Macaca mulatta: one gene and its partners. The protein of the gene in region 7 purifies or fractionates together with the protein of the main gene of each other region. This does not show direct contact. Links are inferred from orthologs where the notes say so. Each region holds a gene or a part of one and is shown on either strand. Other genes may lie near its edges.

Region 1 (3,500 bases), on a different chromosome or scaffold from region 7:
TGTGAGACTCCTCTGATGAGTTATCTTTGCTCCACGGCTCCCCATTGGGTGGGTCAAGATTTTGTCCAATCTGCATTGTGGTCTAGGCTATCCTGGCCTAATCCTGCTTTCTCCTCCTTTTTGTCTTTCACAGAAATTACTCCCCCCAGGCCGGGCGCGGTGGCTCAAGCCTGTAATCCCAGCACTTTGGGAGGCCGAGACGGGTGGATCACAAGGTCAGGAGATCGAGACCATCCTGGCTAACACGGTGAAACCCCGTCTCTACTAAAAAATACAAAAACTAGCCGGGCGAGGTGGCGGACGCCTGTAGTCCCAGCTACTCGGGAGGCTGAGGCAGGAGAATGGCGTGAACCCGGGAGGCGGAGCTTGCAGTGAGCTGAGATCCGGACACTGCACTCCAGTCTGGGCGACACAGGGAGACTCTGTCTCAACCAAAAAAAAAAAAAAAGATTTAAAAAAAAAGAAATTACTCCCCCCAATAAATTATGCTCCTAACTCTGTCTTTTTTTTTTTTTTTTGAGATGGAATCACTCTGTCACCCAGGCTGGAGTGCAGTGGCACGATTTCGGCTCTCTGCAAACTCTACCTCCCGAGTTCACGCCATTCTCCTGCCTCAGCCTCCTGAGTAGCTGGGACTACAGGTGCCCGCCACCACGCCCGGCTAATATTGTGTATTTTTTAGTAGACACAGGGTTTCACCATGTTAGCCAGGATAGTCTCGATCTGCTGACCTCATAATCCACCCACCTCGGCCTCCCAAAGTGCTGGGATTACAGGCGTGAGCCACCGCGCCTAGCCCTCATATACCCTGGAGCTCACTTATAATAAGGTAGTTAAGAGAAAAAGGGCCTGGGAAGGCTTTCATCAGAAAGGTCACATGACCACTCCAGGTGGTGTTGCCTTACAGAAGTTAAGCAAAAGAGAGTTTCAGAAAGGCAGTCATGGTGTCAACTTACTGATTGATAACTGCCAGGATTGCTGTTTCATTAAAGTAGTAGGAATGGAAATCTGGTCACAAGGTAAAGATGGGTAATGGGGAAATATAAGTATGGAGTATGGAACATGCATTTGAAAGGCTGGTAGCAGCCGGGTTCAGTGGCTCACACCTGTAATTCCAGCACTTTGGGAGGCTGAGGCAGGTGGATCACAAAGTCAAGAGTTTGAGACCAGCCTGGCCAACGTGGTGAAACCCGTCTCTACTAAAAACACAAAAATTAGCTGGGCTTGGTGGTGCACGCCTGTGATCCCAGCTTCTTGTGGGGCTGAGGCAGGAGAATCGCTTGAACCCAGGACATGGAGGTTGCAGTGAGCTGAGATCACTCTGCTGCACTCCAGCCTGGGCAACAGAGCAAGACTCCGTCAAAAAAAAAAAAAATCTGGTAGGAAAAAGAAGGGGAGAAACAGGAGGGTATTGGGGAAGATAAAGAAGCATACTTATGGCCAGGCGCGGTGGCTCAAGCCTGTAATCCCAGCACTTTGGGAGGCTGAGACGGGCGGATCATGAGGTCAGGAGATCGAGACCATCCTGCCTAACCCGGTGAAACCCCGTCTCTACTAAAAAATACAAAAAACTAGCCAGGCGAGGTGGCGGGTGCCTGTAGTCCCAGCTACTCGGGAGGCTGAGGCAGGAGAATGGCGTAAACCCGGGAGGCGGAGCTTGCAGTGAGCTGAGATCCGGCCACTGCACTCCAGCCTGGGGGACAGAGCGAGACTCCGTCTCAAAAAAAAAAAAAAAAAAAAAAAAAGAAGCAGCTTACTTATTTGAAGGAGCACAGGGAAAAAGGAAGAGATTAAAAACAGCAAAAAAATAGAGGCTGTTTATTGCAGTACATAGTGTGGGGGTAAACGAAGGGATCCTCACACACATAGCCCCCTTGGAGGATGGAGAGTGAGGTCTTCTGCTAACCAAGAGAGAATAAATGAATACCATTCTGATGTGTTCACCTTATTCCAGCCATGGTCAAAAGGTAACGAGGAATAAATGCTTAAATAACTGGTTAGAAGGATGCCCAAGATATACTAAGTGTCAGAAGCAAGTCTTTTATGCTAAAAAAAATAATAAAAACGTATGCAGGCATGAATGTACTAATACAAATACATATATTTAAATATATAGAGCACTGTTTTCCAAACTTTCTGCATATTTGAGCCACCTGGGGATCTTTAAAATGTACTGATACCTGCCTTCCTTTGATTTAATTGGTATCAGGTGCATCAGAATTAAAAAAAAAAAACTCCCCGGGTGATTCTAATATGCAGCAAAGTTTGGGAACCACTGGCATAGGAAAAGCTCTGTTAACAGTGGTTACCTGTTCTCAGGAGAATTAATAAAGGTGGACTTTTGAGGTTTTGTGAGCATGTGTTACTTTAGTGAGTTTTACTCAAACAATACAAAAAAGCGGGGAAAAACAAGGTAATTGGAGAACAGTAGTAGCTTCCTAGTGAAAAATCAAGGCCAAATCATCAGAAGTCCAACTTTCTGTGTATTTCATTTCTGTGATCTTGCAACTTTTACATTGAAAAATCCACCTAAGGTCGGGCACAGTGGTTCATGCCTGTAATCCCAGCCCTTTGGGAGGCCAAGCTGGGCAGATCACTTTAGCTTAGGAGTTGAAGACCAGCCTGGGCAACATGGCAAAACCCTGTCTCCACTAAAAATATAAGAATTAGCCAAGCATGGTGGTGCGTGCCTGTAGTCCCAGCTACTCGGGTGGCCAAAGCAGGAGAATCGCTTGAACCTGGGAAGTAGAGGTTGCAGTGAGCCAAGATTGTGCCAGTGCACTCCAGCCTGGGCAACAGAGCAGAGTCCGTCTCAAAAACAAAAAAGAAAAATCCACCTGAGCTTTTACTTTTCCCCTCAGATCTGTGTGCCAATGTCAGTGGAATTTGAGGAGCTCCTGAAGGCTCGAGAGAATCCGAGTGAAGAGGCACAAAGTAAGTAGAGGTGAAAATTTCATTCAGCACCAGCAAAAGTACAGGTTAATTACAGCTCAGATTTGCAGCCATGGCCTCAGATATATTTATAGCCAGGATTTCTTGCTGGTTTCGTCTTTGCTGGTTTCTGGGCTAGAGTGACATCCTAAATTGGTCTTGGGCGCACAATGTTCATTTTGTTCTCTCCTACCTCAAATTTACTGGCTTGGAAAGCCAAGGATTGTTCACTTTAGGTCACGATACTAAAATGAGTCAGCCCTTGTTACCTTGTAAGAGAACACTCACTTTTGATCTCACTTAACTTATTGGAGGTTATATTGTGAGCAAAGGGAGGACATTTGGGTGAAGTGCTGCCTCAGGAAACTAGGAACAAGCAGTCCATTTGAAAAGGTAAGTCCAAGAGAGTGGTGTGTATAAACTGAATCATTGATGTATCTGATTCCCTCAGACTTGGTGGAGTTCACAGATGAAGAGGGATATGGTCGTTATCTCGATCTCCATGACTGTTACCTGAAGTACATTAACCTGAAGGCATCTGAGGTAAGACCTGGGAACGGGCAGAGAGG
Region 2 (3,500 bases), on a different chromosome or scaffold from region 7:
CACCATGTTGGCTGGGCTGGTTTCAAACTCCTGACCTCAAGTGATCTGCCTGCCTCAGCCTTTCAAAGTGCTGGGGCTGGGATTACAGGTATGAGCCACTGTGCCTGTCCTTTTTTTTTTCGAGACGGAGTCTCGCTTTGTCGCCCAGGCTGGAGTGCAGTGGCGTGATCTCGGCTCACTGCAAGCTCCGCCTCCCGGGTTCCTGCCATTCTCCTGCCTCAGCCTCCCCAGTGGCTGGGACTACAGGCGCCCGCCACCTCGCCCGGCTAGTTTTTTCTATTTTTTACTAGAGATGGGTTTCACCGTGTTAGCCAGGATGGTGTCAATCTCCTGACCTCGTGATCCGCCCGTCTCGGCCTCCCAAAGTGCTGGGATTACAGGCTTGAGCCACCGCGCCCGGCCTTTTTTTTTTTTAAAGGGAAGAGGTCTTGCTGTGTTTCCCAGGATGGAGTGTAAGGATTATAGCCCACTACAGTCTCTGAACTCCTGGGTTCAAACTGTCCACCCACCGAAGCTTCCCAAGTAGCTGGGACTAGAGGCACATGCCATCACTCCTGACTAATTTTTTTTTGAGATGGAGTTTTGCTTTGTTGCTCAGGCCGGAGTGCAACGCCGCAATCTTGGCTCACTGCAACCTCCACCGCCTGGGTTCAAGCGATTCTCCTGCCTTAGCCTCCCGAGTAGCTGGGATTACAGACATGCACCACCACACCTGGCTAATTTTTGTATTTTTAGTAGAAACAGGATTTCACCATGGTGGGCAGGCTGGGTTCTGGTTGTTTATGATCTCTATTTTTTGGTGATCTAGGAACCAAACAACAAGAAATTGTTGTTTCCCGTGGGAAGATCTTGGAGCTGCTTCGCCCAGACCCCAACACTGGCAAAGTACATACCCTACTCACTGTGGAAGTATTCGGTGTTATCCGGTCACTCATGGCCTTTAGGCTGACAGGTGGCACCAAAGACTACATTGTAGTTGGCAGTGACTCCGGTCGAATTGTTATCTTAGAATACCAGCCATCTAAGAATATGTTTGAGAAGATTCACCAAGAAACCTTTGGCAAGAGTGGATGCCGTCGCATCGTTCCTGGCCAGTTCTTAGCTGTGGATCCCAAAGGGCGAGCCGTTATGATTAGTAAGTGATTTACTTGCTGTGTGTGCTTAGTTTAGGATAACAATGCTGTGATCTTGGTGGTGTGCCAGTTCCAGTTAATCACTTACATGGGTTTGGCATCATGTTTGGATTTACTCTAGGTTTAAAGTTGCATTTCTTTTTAAAAGAGTTGTATTTTCTTTTAAAACAATGGGAAAAATCTTAACGTACTTTTCTACTTCCCATCTAGTTGGAAATGAGTGTTTTTCAGTTTCTTTGTCTTTGGCAAAAAGACTAAAATGAAATGATCTTATGTTATTAGACAACGAATTTAGTTGCGTTCTTCAGCCTGAAGTGATGATTCACATTCATGTCTCTTCTCTGATAAATTTTTGAAGACAATTTTGTGTATCTGATCAGGCCTCTAGAGGGCAGTCCTCTCTGAGTAGTCATAAAATTGTTAGATCTAATTCAGAGAATAAAACTAATGATAATTTTATGAATTACTGTTTTTCAGTATCCTTAAATCTAGGACTCATTAAAAAATTTTGACGAGTTCGTGGGATATTTAAGATCCGTATTAGGAAAGAGGGGGCCACCACGATGCCATTGTCTTTAAAAAAAAAATTATTTATTTTTAAGAGATGGGTGTCTCAGCCGGGCACAGTGGCTATTTATTTTTAAAAGAGATGGGGGTCTCACCCAGGTGCAGTGACTCATGTCTGTAATTTCAGCACTTTGGGAAGCCGAGGTGGGAGAATCACCTGAGGTCAGGAGTTCGATACCAGCCTGGCCATAATGGTGAAACCCTGCCTCTACTAAAAATACGAAAGTTACCTGAGTGTGGTGGCGTGTGCCTGTAATCCCAGCTACTTGGAAGGCTAAGGCAGGAGAATCGCTTGAACCTGGGAGGCAAAGGTTGTAGTGAGCTGAGATAGCGGTACTGCGCTCCAGCCTGGACAACAGAGTGAGACTGCATCTAAAAAAAAAAAGAGAGATGGAGAACTCACTATGCTGCCCAGGCTGGTCTTGAATTCCTGAGCTCAAGCAATCCTTCTGCCTTGGCCTCCCAAAGTGCTGGAGTTACAGGCTTGAGCCACTGTGCTCAGCTCCATTATTGCTATTCTTTTTTTTTTTTTTTTTTTTTTTAATGAGACAGAGTTTCACTCTTGTTGCCCAGGCTGGAGTGCAGTGGTGCGATCTCAGCTCACTGCAACCTCTTCCTCTCGGATTCAAGCGATTCTCCTGCCCCAGCCTCCCAGGTAGCTAGGATTAGAGGCATGTGCCACCACACCTAGCTAATTTTTTGTATTTAGCAGAGATGAGGTTTTACCATGTTAGTCAGGCTGGTCTTGAACTCGTGACCTCAGGTGATCCACCCGCCTCAGTCTCCCAAAGTGCTATTCTGATGATAGAGAACAGAATCCTGAGTTGTTATGCTTGTAGAGTTACTGCTGTTAATAATGATTAAAAGAAAAGCATGATGTGACTCTAGTTCTGTAAGTGTCTCTTCTCATCTGGGAATCTTGTATGTTTTATCTCCTTCAACTACAGGTGCCATTGAGAAACAGAAATTGGTGTATATTTTGAACAGAGATGCTGCAGCCCGACTTACCATTTCATCTCCCCTGGAAGCCCACAAAGCAAATACTTTAGTGTATCATGTAGTTGGAGTAGATGTTGGATTTGAAAATCCAATGTTTGCTTGTCTGGAAATGGATTATGAGGTAATGGGGACCCTGTCTCTTTGCATTTCTTTCAGTCACCTCGTTGTTTTTTTAAAGATTGTTTTCTTCCTTGTGCATATGTGTTTTTTTTGTTTTGTTTGTTTGTTTTTTGAGACAGAGTCTTGCTCTGTTGCCCAGGCTGGAGTGCAGTGGCAGTCTCAGCTCACTGCAACCTCTGCCTCCTGGGTTCAAGTAACTCTCCTGCCTCAGCCTCCTGAGTAGCTGGGACTACAGGCACTGCCACTGCGCCCAGCTAATTTTTGTGTTTTTAGTAGAGATGGGGTTTCACCATGTTGGCCAAGCTGGTCTCCTGACCCCAGATGATTGGCCCACCTCACCCTCCCAGACTGCTGGGATTATAGGCCTGAGCCACCTTGCCCAGCCCCTTGTTCATGTCTTAATTCTGTCCTGCTAGCACATCTTCTCCATATTCCAAATGCCTTACTGAAATTATTTGGGATGCTTCAGAGGTTAACCAACTATTTAATAGTCTTTCTCTGATTTAAGTAATCTCTCTATGGAAACGAGATATTTATTGGGAAAAGCTTCATGAAAAAGGTGAAGCTGTGTTTAAGGTATTTTTTCACAGAGCATACTATTCTTTGCCTTGAATGGAAGGCAGTGTTCTCTAGTAGAGAGATCCCTGGATCCAGAATTTGGAGATTGCAGTTCTCATTCTA
Region 3 (4,118 bases), on a different chromosome or scaffold from region 7:
CCCCGGTGGATGACCTGAGCCTCTCCCTGCCGCGCCCCTGCCCCTCCTCCTCACTCCCTGGGTTGGGGGCTCCCTTAGCCCGGCCCCCAAGCGCGACGGCCCAGGGCCGGCCGCAGCCCCTTCCCGAACGCCGGCATCCCCTTCCGCTTGGGCTGCCCAGCCCTGTCCTCGCCGGACCCCTTCCTCCTGGAAATCAACCAGGCAGGAGGGTGCCGCCCCCCTCTCGGGTGGGGGACTGTATAGACCCCGTCTCCGCCCCAGCCCCGCGGAGGAGCTGCCCACCTGATTCCCGGACAGACCTCCCCAACTCCGCGCGAGACAGAGAATTATTCAGAGAATTTAAATTAAAAAACGACGTGAAAATTTGGAATAAACTGGGCCTCAGCCTTTTCCTAGGAGGGGGACGTGCCTGGGAGGGGGAGGCCGTCGCCCCGACGACGGTGATGGGGTTGCTGGGGCTTCCAAGGGGGTGGGCGGTCAGGCGGGAGGCCGGGTAGGACAGGGTGTAATTAGCCCCCCGGAGGCAGAGACGGAGAAACAGCTGTGCCCCTGAAATCTTGGAGGCAGAGCTCTGGAAAAGAAGCGCGGACACAGCCGGGTGCGGTGGCTCACGCCTGTAATCCCAGCGCTTTGGGAGGCCGAGGCAGGCGGATCACGAGTTCAGGAGATCGAGACCGTCCTGGCTAACACAGTGAAACCCTATCTCTACTAAAAATACAAAAAATTAGCCAGGTGTCCCAGCTACTCGGGAGGCTGAGGCAGGAAAATCGCTTGAACCCAGCAGGCGGAGGTTCCAGTGAGCCGAGATCTGGCCACTGCACTCTAGCCTGGGCGATAGAGTCTCCGTCGCAAAAAAAAAAAAAAAAAAAAGTAAAAAGCGTAAACGCTACCCGCTGGGCTACCCGGACCAGTGAGTGGCGCGAGAGGCGGGACTCGATGACCTCGAGCAGGGGAGGCCACCCAGCGGCCAGGCCAAGTCTGGGGGATTCTTCCGTCCGGCCGCCAGGGGGCAGTAACGCCAGATCATCTGTCTCCCGGAAGGACTGCGCGATCATCCATCTGTTGCGCCTGCGCGACGGGAGGGGCCGGAGCGCGTTGATGCGGTTGCCAAGACAACCAAGAGGGTGGCCGGATTTAACCGTTGGGGATTAAGCACTTTCACTCCAGGAAGGGAAAATCTCGCGCACGCGCAACGGGGACTGAAACCTGGTCCCCGCAACCCCCTTCACCGGAGCAGTGGGAGAGCGCGCCACAGAGACACTTACGCAGGCGCAGAAGCCTGTTTCCCCCTCACCCGCCGCTTCCACCCTGCGCAGGCGCAAAAAGCCGCGCTGGCAACCTCCGCAGCGGTCGCGCGCACCGTTCACCCCTCTTGCTGCTTTTGTCTCGCGCAACCTTCTCAGGCCCTCCGCGAGGCCGGTCCTTTTTTTCTTTCACTTTCCCCACCCGGAGAGCCAGGTGCTGAGAACCGGTACCTCGTCTCCTTCTCTGTATCCCTTCCCCTGACCCACCTCGCCTCCGTCCTCCCTCCCTTTTCCGTTCCCGAAGCCGGAAGGAGCCGAAGCACCCACGAAAAAAGCCGAAGCTGTCCCCGGAGAGTGAGGCCTTCACGAAGCGGTGGCGGAAGGAGCCGAAGTTCTCTGATCTGCGGAGTGAGCAAGTGGCATCTCCGGAAAGAGCCGAAACTTGGACTCGAGCTTAATCCCAGGAGGGGCCCGAGGGCGAGCTCCGGAAATCTCCGGAAAGAGCCGAAGGCCGGGACGGTTAGGATTGTCGGAAGTGGCCGATTGCTTGGACAGGGCCGGCGGAGAAGATCGGAGGAAATCCGTGGAAGCAGCCAAAGACTGGGACGGATTGAATTGTCGGAAGAACCCGAACTCGCAGAGGGGGCTGGGCGCAGTGGAACACGAGGACACACGGAAACCTCCGAACGTTGAGGAGATAATTTTGGAAAAGTTACGGAAACCTGGGAAGTCGGCGAAACCCTACCTTCGGGTGTTTTCGGAAGCAGTCGCAGCTGCCATCTGCGTCTCCTTCGTCCAGTGTCCGGAAATAGCCGACGCGCTTCGGAGCCAGGCTCGGGGGGAGGGGCAAGCTCGCGGGCGGGCGGGCGGGTGAGGGGGCGGAGCCCGGGCGGGTGGGGAGGGCTGCCGGAGGCTTGATTAGGTAGGAGGTGGCGAAGCGCCGGCGGCGGCCGGAAGTAGCCGAAGCCAGCGGCGGAAGTAGCCGAAGCGGCCGGAGCGGGCGGCAAGGCGAGGCGAGAGCTGCACAGGGCCCTACGCGGCCGCCTCAGCATGTCGGACTTCGACGAGTTCGAGCGGCAGCTCAACGAGAATAAACAAGGTGAGGGCGCCGGGGTCGCGGGGCGGAGGTGTGGGCGGCTCCTCGCGTCGCTCTTTGCCCCCCCGCCATTTTCTCCCTCGCTTCCCCCCACCTCTCACGGCCGTGCGACCCCCCCCAACCCCGGTTCCGTGGCGCGCGCCTCGTTCACGTGACATCCCCAGCGTTCGGCCGCGCGCTAGGCGAGGGGAAGGGGGCGGCAGGGCGCGGGCCCATGACGCATGCGCACGGCGGCTGTCCCCGTGCCCCACGTGGTCCTGCCGGAGGTGGCTCGGGGGACGCGGCGCGAGTGCGCCAGGTACCTCGACGTGAACTTTTGTTTTTTAAAATCTTTTTGTATTCTCTGAAAAGGAGATTATGTTAGGCCCCGTAATCCGTTCTTTTTCTCCCGCTGCCTTGGCACTTCCGCTTCCGGTCGGGCCCACGGCCGCGTCTCCACGCCCCCTTTGTTTCCAAAATGGCGGTTGTGAGGAGTCGGGGGGGCCCCCCTTTCCCTCCTTCACGTGGATGAGGACAGAGCTGTTTCGGGGGACTCTTGGAGGCCACGAGCCCGTCTCATACCCCTTTTCCTTTTTGCTGATTTGCTGCGACCTCTTCTGCCAGGTGGTTTCTGCCCCGTCTGTTGGTAGTGGGGCGCCTCATATTAACGTGTTGGGCGCATGTTCCCTGAAGCATCTGCATTCTTTGAGTGTCGGCACGCACGCATCCTGCATATGCGGAACTTTTGGCGGTCCCGAGAATCGCGATATGGAGTGTTTGAGACAAACCTCAAATCATGTACGATCCCAAACTCGGGGCACCTGATAATACTCAGCCTCAGATCTCGATGTAGAGATAAGGAAACAGGTTCTGAGGGAGGAAGAGGGATCTGGCCCACTGCGCTAAACTCTTCACTTAACGGGGAAGGTGGGAGGCAGGTTCCTTTCAGGGTATCGAGAATGTGATGGGTGAGAACAAAAAGCGTGGGGCCCTGCTGATCTTAGGGATTCCGAGAATATTAGAAGTGGGAGAGTTGTTCCATGTTTCAGTTTGAGAGTGAAGAAACACAGGACTAGGGAAGGTTGGGGACTTGTTTCATTTCTTTTGAGGCTTCAGCTGCCCATGATCCTAGGTCGTTCGGAGGACGAAATGAGGGCTAAGGAATTTTCCTTTGAACCCAGGGGCTGTATTAGGAAACAGTGCCCTGGGGAAGAAATAACGTTTACTGAGGGTCTGACTCTGTCTTAGGTGATGGACTGTTCAAGAGCATAGGCTTTGGAGTTGAGCACATCAGGGATTTAGATACTTGCTTTGTTGGTTAGTAACTACTTTTAATACGTTTATCTTTCTTTTTTTTTTCCTATTTGTAGACTGATTATTATTTTCTTCTCACTCGGTTTTGAGAAGATTAGTAAGGATTATAGTAACGATAGGTGTAGTTAAACTCTGAGCGCTTATGTGTGCCAGGCTCTTCGCTAAACTCTTAGCGTGATTTTATTTAGGGGATCCTTGTAACAGCCCTGTGAGGTCAAAATGATTTCCACCTCTACTGGGGAGGAAACTGAGGGCTCAGAAAAATTAAAAACTTTCTCAGGGCTCAGCTAGTCAGAGGCAGAGCTGAGATTAAATGGGGTAACGTAAAGTGTGTGGCATGTGGCATGTGGCTTGGTGTACACTAGGTGTGCAGTAAGCGATATTTGCAATTGTAAAATTCCATGCTTAAAGAGGAGGGTCTTCCACTCACAGAGATTGTGTCACAGTTGGGAAAGGGCAGGAAAAGGTGCTTTCCAAATGTCATT
Region 4 (3,500 bases), on a different chromosome or scaffold from region 7:
GACTTCATTTCCTACAACACTGTACTAGTCTCAGACTTATTTCCTAAATCCTTTTTTGAGTAGTAGAATGTTTTAGCTGTTATTTTGCAGACACATTTTCATGCATCTTTGACTCTTGTTAGGTGCTTGAACATAAATTCTGAGTTGAGAGGCCTGAATTTGTAGTCATAGTCTATTTAAACTTGCTGTGCAAGGTAGGATGTTGAAGTTAGTTAATTTCTCAGTTCCAGAACTGTGAACTTGGTGGGTGCATTCCCTTGAAGTCTTTCCAGCCCTGTTGAGGCTTCCTCTGAGCCTGCCCACATTCCTGCCCTTTCCCCTCTCCAGGACCTTGGCTTCTGGTGGTGATGGTGCAACTTCTGCTTCCTGCCACAGGTGCCCTGGGGCTGTTAGTGTCTCGTGACTGTGGCAAACTGTGGCTTCTCCTTAGGTGCTGGTGTTTGTCCACTCCCGGAAGGAGACTGGAAAGACGGCCAGGGCCATCCGGGACATGTGCCTAGAGAAGGACACTCTGGGTCTGTTTCTGAGGGAGGGCTCAGCCTCCACGGAAGTCCTGCGAACAGAAGCGGAGCAGTGCAAGGTGAGGAGGGGCCGGCTGGGTTCCCTCATGCCTATCTGGCAGCCGTGTCCATCTGAGGCCTCAGACAGCTCCTCTAGGACTAGACTATGGTACTGTTGTTTCCCATGGGTTAAGGTTGATTGTCTGGATGTGATTATTACTATTCCACATAGTAGTTAAGGGGCAGGGTCTCATGGGAAGAGATTTCCTTAGTCCTTGGGTGAGTCCTACAGGAAGGCTCACCTCATCCCTGGTCGTTTGTTCCACAGAACCTAGAGCTGAAGGATCTTCTGCCTTATGGCTTTGCTATTCATCATGCAGGCATGACCAGGGTTGACCGAACACTCGTGGAGGATCTTTTTGCTGATAAACATATTCAGGTGAGGGAGTGCAAAGCTTTTGGAGGAGCAGGTGGGACGTACTTCAGAAGACTGGCAGTGTCAAGGTTGTGCCATGTTTGCTCCTGGTACTTTATTGCTTCTGGCCCAGCTAGCCCAGGTCGGAGGGTTGTGGTGGATACAATAAATAGAACCTTATGCCACTCTCCCAACTCTTCACACCTTGTGTGAGGGAAGATGAGTGAGTTTCGGACGGTCTGAGAAGCATAGTGAAGCAAGCACTTTGGTGACTTCAGATAGCTCCAAACAGTGCTTCATGGGGGCGTACGTGGCCTTGTCATTCCCTCTTTCCGGATAGCCTCTGCTTGACCTTTTCTAGTAACTTTAAGGTGGTTTAATACAGGTCTGCACTTGTGCCTCCGGAACCTTGAAATGTTCGTTCCTGAATAGATGAGGAACCCAAAGAAACCTTTCCTCTTTATTCTAGTGTCACATTGACAAGTACTGGGACCCCCCACACCCCACTGGCTAGTCTGATAGAAGCTCTGAGGCCAACTGCCTAGAGAAGCCGGGGATATTAACCCCTGATGGTGGCATCTCTTCTCATTGCCTTGCTTTGCCTCTGTAGGTTTTAGTTTCCACAGCAACTCTAGCTTGGGGTGTGAATCTCCCTGCACATACGGTCATCATCAAAGGCACCCAGGTGTACAGTCCAGAGAAGGGACGTTGGACAGAACTGGGAGCACTGGACATTCTGCAGGTACAGAGCCTTTGAGTTTATCCTCAGTGGGGATCGATATCCTCGCCTGAAATGCAGAGATGCTGTAAAGCTGGCAGATCAGAGGCCTAGTTCTGTAATGTAGATCCCTGCATCAAAATCACACATTCTCTTGCTATAGCATTCTTGGTTCGCTGTCCCTGATCTAGATGCTGGGACGTGCTGGAAGACCCCAGTATGACACCAAGGGCGAAGGCATCCTCATCACGTCTCATGGGGAGCTGCAGTACTACCTGTCCCTCCTCAACCAACAGCTTCCTATTGAGAGCCAGATGGTTTCAAAGCTTCCTGACATGCTCAACGCAGAAATCGTGCTGGGGAATGTCCAGAATGCCAAGGTATGGGAGGACTCTGCCTGTTGTGCTTCATGCCTTCCCCACAGACACCAAGGCACCAGGTGTGGGTCGGTCCCTATTGTGCCGCGGGACAGCGGCGTCCGAGGCTTTCCGTCCCTGCACCCACATCTTGGGTCTGGCAGATAGTTCCCCTTGTTACCAAGATCTTAGAAGATGCTTAGATGTTTTTACTAATGAAATGCTGAACACATTGAGAATATGATGTAATATGCATCGTTGTAGCTGGGAATTTCTAAGCAATTCATGGTAGCCTTTCATTTGGACATCAAGAGTTTCTTCATACTAAGAACCATGAGCTGTGTCTTGTAGGACGCAGTGAACTGGCTGGGCTATGCCTACCTGTATATCCGAATGCTGCGGTCCCCAGCCCTCTATGGCATCTCTCATGATGACCTCAAGGGAGATCCCCTGCTGGACCAGCGCCGACTAGATCTGGTTCACACGGCTGCCCTGATGCTGGACAAGAACAATCTGGTCAAGTACGACAAGAAGACGGGCAACTTCCAGGTGCGTGGGGTGAGGGTTTTGAGGCAAAGGTCTCAGCAAAAGTTACTGGCCCAGGAGAAGATTTTCCAGATTGCTCTCGACGTGAGCACTGCCTGTCTAATCACCCGTTGCTTAGAACAGCAGAAAAGTGGTTGCTTTTCCTGTAACTCGAAGTGGATAATTTAGCTGTCTTGTCTGTGCAGGCATCATTTCACTATGGGTCAGCTTATTGTGCCATTTTTCTTCATGTGCCTGGGCCTGGCCTGGCACTTGCACTGCTGTGACTTCATCCAGTTGTCCTATTAGGACAATAACTTATAGGACATTGAGTCATATACTTTACCAAAAATCGCACAAAAAAACCTATAAGACAATAACTTAGGGTCCACAGTTAGAGGTGGGAGCTCATTAGTAGTCAGCACTGGATTGAGCCAACCTTCTCTCCAGGTGACAGAACTGGGCCGTATAGCCAGCCACTACTACATCACCAATGACACTGTGCAGACTTACAACCAGCTGCTGAAGCCCACCCTGAGTGAGATTGAGCTCTTCCGAGTCTTCTCGTTATCCTCTGAGTTCAAGAACATCACAGTGAGAGAGGTGAGCTATGCAGTGTGCTGGGGCGGGGAGTTGGTGCTCAGCAAGTTGCTGAATGGTTTCCCTCCTCGGCCACAAGGCTTTCCCTTGACCTTTTCCTGCTTGTGGCAGGAGGAGAAGCTGGAGCTGCAGAAGTTGCTGGAGAGGGTGCCCATCCCTGTAAAAGAGAGCATCGAGGAACCCAGCGCCAAGGTGAGCGCCGCTCCTCTTTGCTTTGGTCAGGATGAGGATTAAGTGGTTTTCATAATCTTCTAAAAGATGAACCTTGAATTTGGGTTCATGTGTGGTATCCTGCTCAGTTCTCCTAGTTTTTGCAGCCTTCTCGCATGTTCTTTTTATATGAAATAACAATTATTTAGTATTTGTAAATCAAGACCTGTAGAAGA
Region 5 (4,131 bases), on a different chromosome or scaffold from region 7:
TCTCACAGTCCAGGGCAAAGAAAAAGATGAACAAGTCACGGCAATGTGCTAAGTGCTATAGTTAAGATATGATAAAGGGGCTAAGGTAGAATAGGAGGAAACGCGCAGTGAGACTGAAGGACCATAGTGTTTGGAATGGGGGAAGGAGGCACTAGGCAAGGGATTTCCAGGCAGAAAGACTAGCGTGGGCAAAATCTTCAGAGGAAGAAAGAAAATTTGGCTTTCAGGGCTTTGTAAAGAGTTCAGCATGGGAGAATAGCAGCCCTCACATGCTACCAAAAAAACTTAGAAATTACCCACTGGACAATACGGTGTCTTTGGGCAGGGAAGTGATAGGACGCAAGTGGAATTTACAAAGATCATTCTAGGTGCCCTGTGGAGAAAAGAATGGGGTATAACACTGGGAGACAAGAAAGGAAGAAGTAGAAATATCAGTTAGAAAGCTACAACTGTCTGAAGAGAAATGATGAGAATCTGAACTAAGCAGTGGCAGCAGAAGAGAGAGATTTGATGAATATCATTGAGTTAAAGTAGACAGGACCCACTATCCAAAAGAAGAGGCTGAAAGAGAAAGAAAAGAATAACTCCTGGGAGAAATAAGGAAGATATGAAGCCTGCACCAGTGAAAATAGTGAGGAAGGAGTTGATATGAGATAAATTAATGAAACAGAAATGTTAGAATCAATTGAATGACTAGCTTCAGGGGCTGAGGAAGAAGGAAGAGAAAAGGATACCTCCTTTGTTCTTGGCTTGAACTAGTGGGTGGATCGTGGGATCATAGATCAAAATGGGGAAAACAGAAATGGATTTTGAGGGAAAGAAAATAATTTTTCAACACACTGAACTGGAGGTGGCTGAGTGCCAACCTGCAAGAAACAAATGTACAATTACAGTGGGAGATTTTTATATACCTCTCAAGGTTGTAAGCTAGCAAGGAGGATAGAACTGGAAATAAAAGGATAGCAAACATGTGGCACTGTTAAAAGGGCTTTACATCTTTTATGGCAATTCTTATAATTCTGTTAGATCGGTACTACTGTTATTCCTACTTTACAGATCAGTAAAAATTAGGTGCTGAGCATTTAAGCAGCTTATCCAAGGTCCCCAGGTGGGTAAGTGCTGGAGGCAGGATTTGAATTACAGTCTTAATTCCAGAGCCTGTGCTAACCATTTCACGGTGTTCACCTTGAGCTAGGGGCAGCACAGACTGAGGTTGAAGGTATGGAAGAATATGTGGAATGCAAAGAGGACCAAGAGCAGAGTCCTAGGAAACACCAGTATTGAAAAGAGTAAAATAATTGGAACAGAATGCTGAGTAGAGCCCCATGGAAGCGAAACGGAGAGAAAGTTTCAAGAAAGAGGAACTAATGAACAGTGTCATTTGATGCAGACATTTAAGTCAGATGGCTGAACCTGACAACTGCAAGGCCTGGGACATCACTCACAGACAGTTTCCCAAGAGGGTAGGGCCAGACTGCATCGGGTTGAGGAGAAAATGAGATGAAGACAAAAAGAGAGCTCCAAAAAGCTGAGCTGTGAAAGGAGAAGACTCAGGAGGTTACTGGAGGGGCGTAAGTTTGGAAAGTTTTGTTTTGATAGGAAGTTAGGATTCTAAGCATTCTTTCATGCCAGATGCCCATTTTTAAAAAGTAAAATTCACAGACAGCTTGTTAAAAATCTGTAAAACACTCCTTAAGTCATTAAACTAGACTTGGGGACATGATACAAAGGAATTTTTGGACACCGCCTCCCATCTTCACATCTTGAGCTGATCACCTACCTCGGGCTCTACTGGGCCTACACTATCAATTGGTAGATGCTCTCATCAGGCTCTAGACACATCAGCTTTTCCTCAGTTCTTCAAACACACTAAGCTCTTTGCCTTCTCAGGCTTGCCTGTCACCTTTGCCTGGAAACTCTTGCCTGAATCAGCTTCCTCCATTGAGATCATGCAGCTGTTTCTCAAATCCAAGGCCTTTTTCTCACTGTATTAACATACATAATCATAAAACATTTACTGCACTCTCACTAGTTACCAGGCTCTGTGCTATATGCTTTATTTGTGTAATTTCACTCAATTTTCACACTCATCTTCTCATGTAGACAGGTGTTTTGAAAATGATCTCCGCTTGTACAGGTGAGGAAAGAGAGGAGGCTGCATAACTTGCCCAAGTTCACATAAGTGGTGGTGCCAGGATTAGAACCTAGTTTTTCAAAAATAAAACAAATCGAGGCCACTGCTCACTTCAAGTGAAGGTACAATACTCTAGTTTGGGAAGTCCTGATCTAATTTTATTTATGTTCCGAGATTACATCTGCACTTTACAGGCTATGTCCCTAATTCACAAATTCAAATTTCACCCCCTCTTTCCACTTGCTTTCTGATGGCGGGAGGTAAGGGCAGAGAGCATCGGGGGGCTATTCCGAACTTCCAATTCTGCTTCTCCCGAGGATGCATGTGGGAAGGAGAAGAAATTCAAACGTTAGCAACTTATCTCTGAGCAATGAGGTAAGCCGGGACCTAACAAGCGGCTGGCAGTTTTGGAGCTGAAGCCAACAATTCCCACACCGCATCAGTAGCAAAGGTGCTTACCTTAACTGCCACCTCCGGAGCCGAGTCCACTGCCACTGCTAGAGACGGCTTGGCTGAAGGCGATTTAGTCAAGTGCATGAGGGAGTCGGCGGCTGGCAGCGGACATCGACTGCTCTCACTGTCCGAGTCCGATTCGGACCCTGAACCCGAACCGTAGGAAGCGGCCAGAGCTGCAATCGCAGCCGACATGACGGCAACAAATCTTCTGCGGGGACCCTGTCAGGGCGGAAGAAGAGGAGGCTCCCAGGTCCTGACAGATTGCCATGGAACACATCATTAACTTTCTTTGCTAAGAAATAATTTCTTACATTTTAAAACAACAAGCTAATTATTATTAGAATAACTACTGTCGAAATGAGAGCTTAAAAAAGTTTATCTAGGGAAAAAGAGAGAATTATAATAGCTTATAACTTTCAGGACCTAGTTGACTAAAGAATACGAGTTCCAAAATACCTTGAGGCCTCGCGGTCCTGCACTCCCAGCGTGCAGCGCGGCAGGAAGCACCAGAGGGCACAATGGGAAGTGTAGTTTGGAACGAGGGGGCGGGACGGGGGCGGGTCCCTCCTTGACCCCGCCCCCGAATGGATGTTCCATTCAATTGGCTGTCATCTTCCCTCATTCCCTAGCCAAGCACTGTTCTCTCCGTCCCCCTCCCCCAAACTGAGGATTGGGCAATACCACAGAACCTCAGGAAAGGGGGGAAGAGCGAGCTTCGGCCCCACCGATGGAGGAGTGGGCCGAGGCTGGGTTTCCCACCTCGACTGCACCTGGGCACTCGAGGGTGAAGAGGAAAGTGAGAATCTGAAGTTTTGAGACCTCTGACTGGCCGGGAATAGCTCCTGGGGCACGGGGCAAGGATGGGACCATAGCCGGAGAGAGTCCCGCGGTCCCCCCTGCTTCTGGCGCGGGTCCCTGCGTCCGGTTGTGGAGCGTCTCGCGCGGGGAGGGGGCGGGGGGAGCGGCAGCTCGCGGTGTTGTTCACTCGCGCGTCGAGCACACGGTGGGTCCGGCGGCCGGTGGGCGCCCCAGGCGGCGTTCCCAGTGGCCTGGCGCCTCGGCCGCTGTCCTGAGCGGGTTCCGCCCCAGAGCCCGACCCTCCTGGGAGCCCTAGGTGGAGTCCCGCGAGCCGAGGGGGACCGGCGACCGCTGCCGAAGCATGAAGAAGGGGTAAGCGAGAGCCCCCAAGATTTCACGGTGAGCGCGAGTCCCTGAGGAATTGCTTTTTTCGGGGAGGGGGTGCTGGGAGAGGAACTCTTCCTCACCGGCCGGAGCAGACCGAGGGGTGTGTGGCCCGCATAGGTGACGGGGATGGATGGGCGCGCCTCCCCCGCCCCGGCCCCCACCCCCATCCGCGGGTTTCCCGAGCGCCCACCGCCCACCCGCCAGCCGGGCTGGGTGCAGAGGGAGACGGCGGCGGGCGCGCCCGGGGTTCGGCTGCAGGGACCGCCCCGGGGCTGCTTTCGCCGGAGAGACTGCGGGTCTCACCTGAGGTGCCACCGCCCGGGCTTCCCTGCCCACCCGCGCCCACGGTCCGCCCC
Region 6 (3,500 bases), on a different chromosome or scaffold from region 7:
GTGAGCCACTGTGTCCAGCCAATTGCATATATTTCTACCTCTGTATAAAGAAATTAGAAATTTTCTAGTTTGCTTGTGTTATTTTAAAATATTAAACTTGGGCTGGGCATGATGGCTTGTGCCTGTAATTCCAGCACTTTGGGAGGCCGAGGCGGGTGGATCACCTGAGACCAGCCTGGCCGACATGGTGATACCCCGTCTCTAATAAAAGTACAAAAAATTATCTGGGCATAGTGGCAGGCGCCTATAATCCCAGCTACTCGGAAGGCTGAGGCAGGAGAATAGCTTGAACCCGGGAGGCAGAGGTTGCAGTGAGCTGAAACTGCACCACTGCACTCCAGCCTGGGCAACAGAGCGAGACTCCATCTCAAAAAATAAAAAATAAATAAATAAAAATTAAACTTGGATATTTCACTTTGAACCATTGAGTAATTTAGTAAGACTCTTTTGTGACTTTTAAAATTCTGCAGTAATGTTGTCAATCTCGAGGTTTTATTAAGTGGATCAGATTTTATCTTGTGATGTAAGTAGGATACATCTTGTTAGTGTCTAATAATTGCACTTTTTCATCATTCATTAGGGTTATGCTTATACTTTTATCACAGAAGATCAAGCTCGCTATGCTGGTGACATAATTAAAGCTCTTGAATTGTCAGGGACCGCAGTACCTCCTGATTTAGAGAAACTGTGGAGTGATTTCAAAGATCAACAGAAAGCTGTGAGTTTTTTAACCCATGTCACTCTTTTAGAAATCATTAATGTGACTAAACCTTGATTATTTAATTCTTGGAAATCTTTTTTACTTAATACTTGGAAATTTTGATAGTACTGTTTTTATTTCTCTTCAGAGAGGGAAAAATGAAAGCTAAAATCCTATCTTTTTCTTGAACTTAGTATTTTGTGGTGTCTATGTAGAGCTCTTAGTTTATCTTACATGCTGGATGAACTGTTTTTATTACATTGACATACACCACCTTGAAAAATATTTAATTAGTATGAATTCCTAAACATTAAAGTTATTACTATGAGATTAACTTTGTTTTCTTTCTTTGAAAGGAGGGGAAAATAATTAAAAAGAGTAGTGGGTTCTCTGGTAAGGGATTCAAGTTTGATGAAACAGAACAAGCTTTGGCTAATGAGAGGAAGAAGTTACAAAAAGCAGCTCTTGGTCTGCAAGATTCAGATGATGAGGATGCTGCAGTTGACGTAAGTACTGTTGTTCTCTCATTCTTAACTGAAGCAGTTATTTCTTTTGTACTGGAGGTCTTGCCATATGCTTATCAAGATAGACAATCATTGGAAATCTTCTTTACAAGAGGATGGTTCCAGAATAGTTTTGGAAAAATCTGCCTAGTGCATACCAATACCCCTCCTCTCAATATATAGACCACTCATTAGCACTTCAAAGGATGTGAAAGTCTTTTTTTTTTTTTTTTTTTGAGATGGAGTTTCGCTCTGTTGCCCAGGCTGGAGTACAGTGGTGTGATCTCCACTCATTGTAACCTCTGCCTCCCAGGTTCAAGCAGTTCTCCTGCTTCAGCCTCCTGAGTAGCTGGGATTACAGGCGTCCGCCATCACGCCCGGCTAATTTTTGTAGTTTTAGTAGAGACAGGGTTTCACCTTCTTGGCCAGGGTGGTCTCAGACTCCTGACCTCAAGCGGTCCACCCTCCTCGGCCTCCCAAAGTGCTGGGATTACAGGTGTGTGCCACCTCACCCAGCCATGGATGTGAAAAGTCTTTAAGGAATCTTGTTTAACTTTGTTAAACCCAGAAGTTCCCCAACATATCTGATCACAGAACACTTTTGGACATATCATGTTAAATAAATTTAAGTTCAGAAAACAATGTTGGAAATCAGGAATTCAATCTGATCTTGTCATTAGGAAATGGACTCCAAGACAAGATGTTAGGTCCAGGACCACAGTGGGAGTTACAGTCAGGACCAGAACCCAGGTGTCCTATTAACCTTAAGCCATTTCTTTCTAGGATACCATACTAGTTCAAAAAATTAGCCCGGTGTGTCTTGCTCTGTCACCCAGGCTGGACTGCAGTGGCACAGTCTCAGTTCATTGCAACTTCTGCCTCCTGGGTTCAAGTGATTCTCCTGTTTCAGTCTCCTGGGTAGCTGGGATTACAGGCACCCGCCACCACACTGGGCTGATTTTTGTATTTTTAGTGGAGATGGGGTTTCACTGTGTTGTCCAGGCTGGTCTCAAACCCCTGACCTCAGGTGGTCCACCCACCTTGGCCTCCCATAGTGCTGGGATTATAGGTGTGAGCCACTGTGCCTGGCTAATAAAGTCTTTTTTTTTTTTTTTTTTTTTTTTAAGACAGAGTCTCACTCTGTCACCAGGCTGGAGTGCAGTGGCTCAATCTCGGCTCACTGCAACCTCCACCTCCCGAGTTCAAGCAATTTTCCTGCCTCAGACTCCCGAGTAACTGGGATGACAGGCATGCGCCCCATGCCTGGCTTATTTTTTTTTGTATTTTTACTAAAGATGGGATGTCATGATGTTGGCCAGGATAATCTTGATCTTTTGACTTCGTGATCCGCCCGCCTTGGCCTTCCAAAGTCTTCGGATTCACCTGGCCAAATTTCATTTTTTTAATTTATCTGTGACCATGTAACAAATCAAAACTTAACAGGTTAAAGCAATAAACATTTATTATCACATAGTTCCTGCGGGCCAGGAAATCAGGAGCAGTTTAGTCAGGTAGTTCTGGCTTAGGCGCTCATGGGATTGCAGTCATCTGCAGGCTTGACTGTTGCTGGATGATCTGTTTCCAAGATGGCTCATTCACTTTGATGTTGATAGGATGCCTCACAGTTTTTCACCACTTTGCCTGTCCTTACGCACGTGGCAGATGGCTTTCCCCACAGTGAGTGATCCAAGAGAGAGAGCAAAGAGAAAGCTTTTTAGTGCTTTTTATGACTAGTCTCTGAAATTATACAGTCACTTCCACTTTATTCTTTGTGGAGTTTGTTTTTCTCTTGTTTGTTTTGTTTTGGAGACAGAGTCTGACTCTGTTGCCCAGGCTGGAGTGTAAGTGGTGCGAACTCAGCTCACTGCAGCCTCTGACTCCTGGGCTCTAGCAATCTTCCCACCTCAACCTCCTGAATAGCTGGTACTATAGGTGCACCACCATGCCCTGTTAATATATATTTTAAAATGTATTTTAGAGTTGAGGTCTCATTATATTGCCTAGGCTGGTCTCAAATTCCTGGGCTCAAGTGATCCTCCTGCCTCAGCCTCCCAAAGTGGTGGTATTACAAACATGAGCCACCATGCCCAGCCTACTTTATTGTATTAGAAGGAAGTCATTAAGTCCAGCCCACACTCAGGAAAAAAGACTATTAAATAATTTGTAGCCATGTTTTAAAAACACCTGTCACTTTTTGACATTATGGTAGTTTTATCTGTGATTTTAGTTGCTGTAGGTTAACCACAGTCTGAAACTATTACAGTGTTTTGAGACCACATTCATATAACTTTTATTAC
Region 7 (4,273 bases):
ATGGCACCACTGCACTCTGGCCTAGGTGACAAAGCGAGACCCTGTCTTAAAAAAAAAAAAAAAAAATTCTAATCAAACAACACCATTAAGAGTGAAAAGGCAAGCCACAGCGTGTGTTCATATGCCTAATATATAAAGAAATTCCAAGAATCAATAAGAAAAAAGGCAGACAACTCCATAAGGAAAAAAATGAGCCAAGGACTCGAAAGAACACTTCACAAAGGAAGCTATCAGAATGGGCACCATACACATGAGAAAGTTCTCAGCTTCATTAGTTATTAGAGAAAAGCAAAGCAGTAGTGCAATACCACCACACACCCATCAGAATAGCTAAAGTTATAGACTTAAAATGCAAACAAGCCTGAAGCTGGAAGCCATGAAAACCCTTACACACCGCTGGAGTGTGTATATTATTTCAGCCTCTTAGTATAACTGTTGGGCATTACTTATTGATGATAGATATAATACCCTATGTCCCAGCAATTCCACTCCAGGAAAAACTCATGCAAATGTGCATCAGATCCACGTACCAGAAAATTCATAGCAGCATTACTCAGAATAGCCCTAAACAGAAAACAACTTTGATGTCCATCAACAGCAGAATAAGTAATTTATGGTATAATATATACAATGGAACTCTCTTCAGCAGCGAAAGCAAACAAACCATCTCTGTAGGCAACCTGGATGGACTCCAGACATAATATAGACTCAAAGAAACTAGGCCAAAAAAAGCATACTGCATGATTCTATTTATATCAAAAGCAAGCAAAACGAATCTGTAGTGTTGAGTTCGCGGTTGCCTTTGGGAAAGAGGAAGGCTTTCAGAATAGTGGTTTTTTGGATCTCGGTGTCGGCTAAGCAGTTGTGTTCACTCTGGTCATTAATCACGCTGTAAATTCATCATATGCACACTTTTCTGTATATCATACTTCATATGAATATTCAGAAGTCTAAAGGCCACAAGCTTAACCGCAAACCCTACCATGCCCTAGGCCAGGTTGGACTTGCGGAGCTGTGGGGTTGTCCCGGCGACCTGCCCCAGGCGGGCCACCTAGCCCGGGATCTCACACTGTAACCCGGAGCCAAGGCCCAGGCCCAGGCCCAGGACGGGTACCTGAACTCCTGGACCCTTCACTGAACCCCACGGGTCCCCGCGCCGGCTGGTGGAGGGAGAGCAGTCACAGCTTCCCGTCCCACCTCAAGGTGCGCTAATGCATGAAAAAGTTCCCCTCGGATGTTTCCACATTCGCCTTAACTTTTAAACACCAACGTCTGGAATCATAGGTTCTCCAGACTCCAAACACACCCCAGGAAAGAACCCAGAACCAGACACAGCCCCTGCGCGCCCGGCAAGACTTCCGGCAAGAACGACCCCGAAGGCGTGGCTCTTCCATTGCTTCGGCCTGGCGGGCGAGCTGCGCGCGCACTCGGGGGCTGCGATTGGTGCTGCCTGGCGGTGGGGCGCGGGGCACGCTGGGACGTCTCGCTGGCGGGAGGCCACGGGCTTTCCACGGCGCGAGGAGACGGGAGGCAGCAGGATGGTCAAGCTGACGGCGGAGCTGATCGAGCAGGCGGCGCAGTACACCAACGCGGTGCGCGACCGGGAGCTGGACCTCCGAGGTGAGTCCGAGGGCGTGGGCGGCCAGCCCCCGGGCGGCACCGCGTCGCCTTATTATCCGCGCTCTGCCGCGTGCACCGAAGGCCGGAGCTTGGCCCGCGGGCCGGTTGTCTGGGCTCCGACCGGGCTGCGCAGGGAACGCGGGGCCTGATTCTTGCCGTTGTTGCCAAATGAGCATCCCGTTAGGCTCTTGGAGCCTTCTCTTACCGCCGTGCCTCTTGACAGGCACGAGTGACTTCATTACTTCCTGGTGCATACTCGTGGGGCTCTATTAGGCCTTGCTTGGCTGTTTCGCAGTTGGCTCTGTTTGAGGGCCCGGAAGAGCGGCTCGTTAATGGTTGTAACGCTAGTGCAGGGCGAGTGATTGGTTCTTAATACTTGCCGCCAGACGATATTTTGAGCGTAGATGGGATATGTGTTCGTTGTTCCTAATGTGAGGGAGGAAACCAAGTCCCCGAACAACAGCGATTGTTTCCCCCAGTATTTTCTACTTAGTACCTTTGTCTGGCGTTTCCCCTTTATGAAGACGTTTTAAAAATTGAACTGTGTGACCCAGGTTTGCACAGCCCTGTGCTGTGTGTAAGTTGTGGAAGCGCTCGCAATTATTCAGATTCCTGTACTATTTCAACCTTAGCAAGACTTGGTAAGATATTGGGAGGGCAGCTAGCTAGTTGGCATTTCAGGAGACGACTTTAAAAAGGATGTGAAGAGCAACTTCTCTGGGGATAAGACCATGCAGCCGTAGCCTGAGATTTGTTCCCACGGGGACCTATGGCTTTGGAGCAGCATCGCTGCGGGATCTGCTTAGATTTCTTGCTGACCTTTGGGAAATCCCGTTGTGTTGTGTTGTGTGTTGTGTTCTGCTTAGATTTCTTGCTGACCTTTGGGAAATCCCGTTGTGTTGTGTTGTGTTGTGTTGTGTTGTGTTGTGTTGTGATGGAGTCTCGCTCTTTCACCCCAGCTGGCGTGCAGTGGTGTGGTCTCGCCTCACTGCAACCTCCACCTCCCCGGTTCAAGTGATTCCTGTGCCTCAAGCCTCCCGAGTTGTTGGGATTACAGGCGTGAGCCACCACGCCTGGCTGATTTTTGTATTTTTAGTAGAGACGGGGTTTCGCCATGTTAGTCAGGCTAGTCTCGAATTCCTGACCTCAGGTGATCCGCCTCCGCCGGCCTCCCAGAGTGCTGGGATTAAGACGTGAACCACTGCGCTCGGCCCCCAGTATTTTTATTTTGTTGAAATTAAGTTTGTTAGAGAAAGGTTCAGTTCAAGAGCAACTCACCACTTTTTTTTTTTTTTTTTTTTTTTTTTGAGACGGAGTTTCGCTGTTGTTGCCCAGGCTAGAGTGCAATGGCGCGATGTCAGCTCACTGCAACCTCTGCCTCCCGGGTTCAAGCGATTCTCCTGCCTCAACCTCCCGAGTAGCTGGGATTACAGGCCTGCGCCATCACGCCCGGCTAATTTTGTATTTTTAGTAAAGACAGGGTTTCTCCATGTTGGTCAGGGTGGTCTCGAACTCCCGACCTCAGGTGATCCGTCCTCCGCGGTCTCCCAAAGTGCTGGGATTACAGGCTTGAGCCATTGCGCCCGGCCCAACTCACCACTTTTGATGATCTCTGCCATTTCTCTTTATGGAGTACGTGCAATATTGAGAATACATATTTTGATGCAATACGTGTAGTATAGCTCTGAATTGTGCCCTTTAACTTTGGGTGAATTCTTTTTTAGTAGACCTTGCTTCTTCAGAATATTTCTTTTCTTATAGTGCCTAACACAGTAATTATGCTCAAATTGGACAAATTAACATTTGAGTGTTCACAGGTTTATTACTCTATGTAAACCATTGAGTTCTTCAACTCTAAATTGTAGCTGGGGGAGGGGAGGGAGAACTGTCATATCTTGAGGCTGTTCTGATGGGTTCTAAGAATCTGGCCCGTGGAGATGCAAGAGTGGAGAACTGTTATCCACAATGTTTGAACGCTGTTTGGGCACTGAGACTAAGCAGCTCAAAGTGTAAATTCCTGTTGTGCGGATTCCGCTTAACTAGCCCAAATGACTTAGAACAGTGTGAGGCACCTTGTAAATGTTCTTATAAATGTTAGCTACCTATATCACCCATTATTATTGTTCTTGTCCTTGTTGTCATTAGATTGTAAGCTTCATGGCACTGGGTACTTGAGACTCGTTCAGCATTTTCTCTCTAGTATCTTGTACAGTGGCAAGGCATGTATGACATGGCATAGGTGCTAGGTAATGCTTCCTGAATAAATCAAAGCCTGGAATCAGATACTATGAAATACTGCTAATGTTTTAAGGGGCTGTTTAGTTATATTAATACCTCTTGTGTGTTTTTTTTTCCTCCATTTTACAGGGTATAAAATTCCCGTCATTGAAAATCTAGGTGCTACATTAGACCAGTTTGATGCTATTGATTTTTCTGACAATGAGATCAGGAAACTGGATGGTTTTCCTTTGTTGAGAAGACTGAAAACATTGTTAGTGAACAACAACAGAATATGGTAAGTGCCTATAGGGGAAAGTAATTTTTTCCCCCTAGGGTAAATGTTGCAGTGTTCCCTGAAGAAGCTGTAGCACGTACTACCGGTTAAACCTACATGGTTTTTTTAATTTAATTTTTATATTTTTAAAAAATATTT

What was found.
Region 1: the proteins of SNRPA1 (region 7) and SF3A3 purify together in Homo sapiens (affinity purification with mass spectrometry; 6 studies listed by BioGRID and IntAct, counting the BioPlex papers as one, with this or other methods). This does not show direct contact. The link is inferred for Macaca mulatta from reciprocal best matches to the Homo sapiens genes SNRPA1 and SF3A3.
Region 2: the proteins of SNRPA1 (region 7) and SF3B3 purify together in Homo sapiens (affinity purification with mass spectrometry; 5 studies listed by BioGRID and IntAct, counting the BioPlex papers as one, with this or other methods). This does not show direct contact. The link is inferred for Macaca mulatta from reciprocal best matches to the Homo sapiens genes SNRPA1 and SF3B3.
Region 3: the proteins of SNRPA1 (region 7) and U2AF2 fractionate together in Homo sapiens (co-fractionation; 3 studies listed by BioGRID, with this or other methods). This does not show direct contact. The link is inferred for Macaca mulatta from reciprocal best matches to the Homo sapiens genes SNRPA1 and U2AF2.
Region 4: the proteins of SNRPA1 (region 7) and SNRNP200 fractionate together in Homo sapiens (co-fractionation; 3 studies listed by BioGRID). This does not show direct contact. The link is inferred for Macaca mulatta from reciprocal best matches to the Homo sapiens genes SNRPA1 and SNRNP200.
Region 5: the proteins of SNRPA1 (region 7) and CDC40 purify together in Homo sapiens (affinity purification with mass spectrometry; 3 studies listed by BioGRID and IntAct, counting the BioPlex papers as one, with this or other methods). This does not show direct contact. The link is inferred for Macaca mulatta from reciprocal best matches to the Homo sapiens genes SNRPA1 and CDC40.
Region 6: the proteins of SNRPA1 (region 7) and DDX46 purify together in Homo sapiens (affinity purification with mass spectrometry; 3 studies listed by BioGRID and IntAct, counting the BioPlex papers as one, with this or other methods). This does not show direct contact. The link is inferred for Macaca mulatta from reciprocal best matches to the Homo sapiens genes SNRPA1 and DDX46.

What each region holds. Positions count from the first base shown.
Region 1 is NC_133406.1:202,808,884-202,812,383, forward strand, and holds part of SF3A3 (splicing factor 3A subunit 3), read left to right. Parts: intron 1-2,861; coding exon 2,862-2,934; intron 2,935-3,382; coding exon 3,383-3,474; intron 3,475-3,500. UniProt on the Homo sapiens protein: Component of the 17S U2 SnRNP complex of the spliceosome, a large ribonucleoprotein complex that removes introns from transcribed pre-mRNAs.
Region 2 is NC_133425.1:69,321,784-69,325,283, reverse strand, and holds part of SF3B3 (splicing factor 3B subunit 3), read left to right. Parts: intron 1-764; exon of another isoform or gene 765-808; coding exon 809-1,135; intron 1,136-1,438; exon of another isoform or gene 1,439-1,517; intron 1,518-2,647; coding exon 2,648-2,820; intron 2,821-3,500. UniProt on the Homo sapiens protein: Component of the 17S U2 SnRNP complex of the spliceosome, a large ribonucleoprotein complex that removes introns from transcribed pre-mRNAs.
Region 3 is NC_133424.1:68,003,124-68,007,241, forward strand, and holds the start of U2AF2 (splicing factor U2AF 65 kDa subunit), read left to right. Parts: upstream 1-1,318; 5' UTR 1,319-2,294; coding exon 2,295-2,343; intron 2,344-4,118. UniProt on the Homo sapiens protein: Plays a role in pre-mRNA splicing and 3'-end processing. By recruiting PRPF19 and the PRP19C/Prp19 complex/NTC/Nineteen complex to the RNA polymerase II C-terminal domain (CTD), and thereby pre-mRNA, may couple transcription to splicing.
Region 4 is NC_133418.1:5,024,829-5,028,328, reverse strand, and holds part of SNRNP200 (U5 small nuclear ribonucleoprotein 200 kDa helicase), read left to right. Parts: intron 1-430; coding exon 431-580; intron 581-828; coding exon 829-939; intron 940-1,525; coding exon 1,526-1,657; intron 1,658-1,824; coding exon 1,825-2,013; intron 2,014-2,340; coding exon 2,341-2,538; intron 2,539-2,964; coding exon 2,965-3,117; intron 3,118-3,225; coding exon 3,226-3,306; intron 3,307-3,500. UniProt on the Homo sapiens protein: Catalyzes the ATP-dependent unwinding of U4/U6 RNA duplices, an essential step in the assembly of a catalytically active spliceosome. Plays a role in pre-mRNA splicing as a core component of precatalytic, catalytic and postcatalytic spliceosomal complexes.
Region 5 is NC_133409.1:15,228,564-15,232,694, reverse strand, and holds the start of CDC40 (pre-mRNA-processing factor 17), read right to left. Parts: upstream 2,801-4,131; 5' UTR 2,783-2,800; coding exon 2,594-2,782; intron 1-2,593. UniProt on the Homo sapiens protein: Required for pre-mRNA splicing as component of the activated spliceosome. Plays an important role in embryonic brain development; this function does not require proline isomerization.
Region 6 is NC_133411.1:143,733,562-143,737,061, forward strand, and holds part of DDX46 (probable ATP-dependent RNA helicase DDX46), read left to right. Parts: intron 1-580; coding exon 581-718; intron 719-1,056; coding exon 1,057-1,206; intron 1,207-3,500. UniProt on the Homo sapiens protein: Component of the 17S U2 SnRNP complex of the spliceosome, a large ribonucleoprotein complex that removes introns from transcribed pre-mRNAs.
Region 7 is NC_133412.1:91,654,048-91,658,320, reverse strand, and holds the start of SNRPA1 (U2 small nuclear ribonucleoprotein A'), read left to right. Parts: upstream 1-1,473; 5' UTR 1,474-1,538; coding exon 1,539-1,620; intron 1,621-3,987; coding exon 3,988-4,135; intron 4,136-4,273. UniProt on the Homo sapiens protein: Involved in pre-mRNA splicing as component of the spliceosome. Associated with sn-RNP U2, where it contributes to the binding of stem loop IV of U2 snRNA.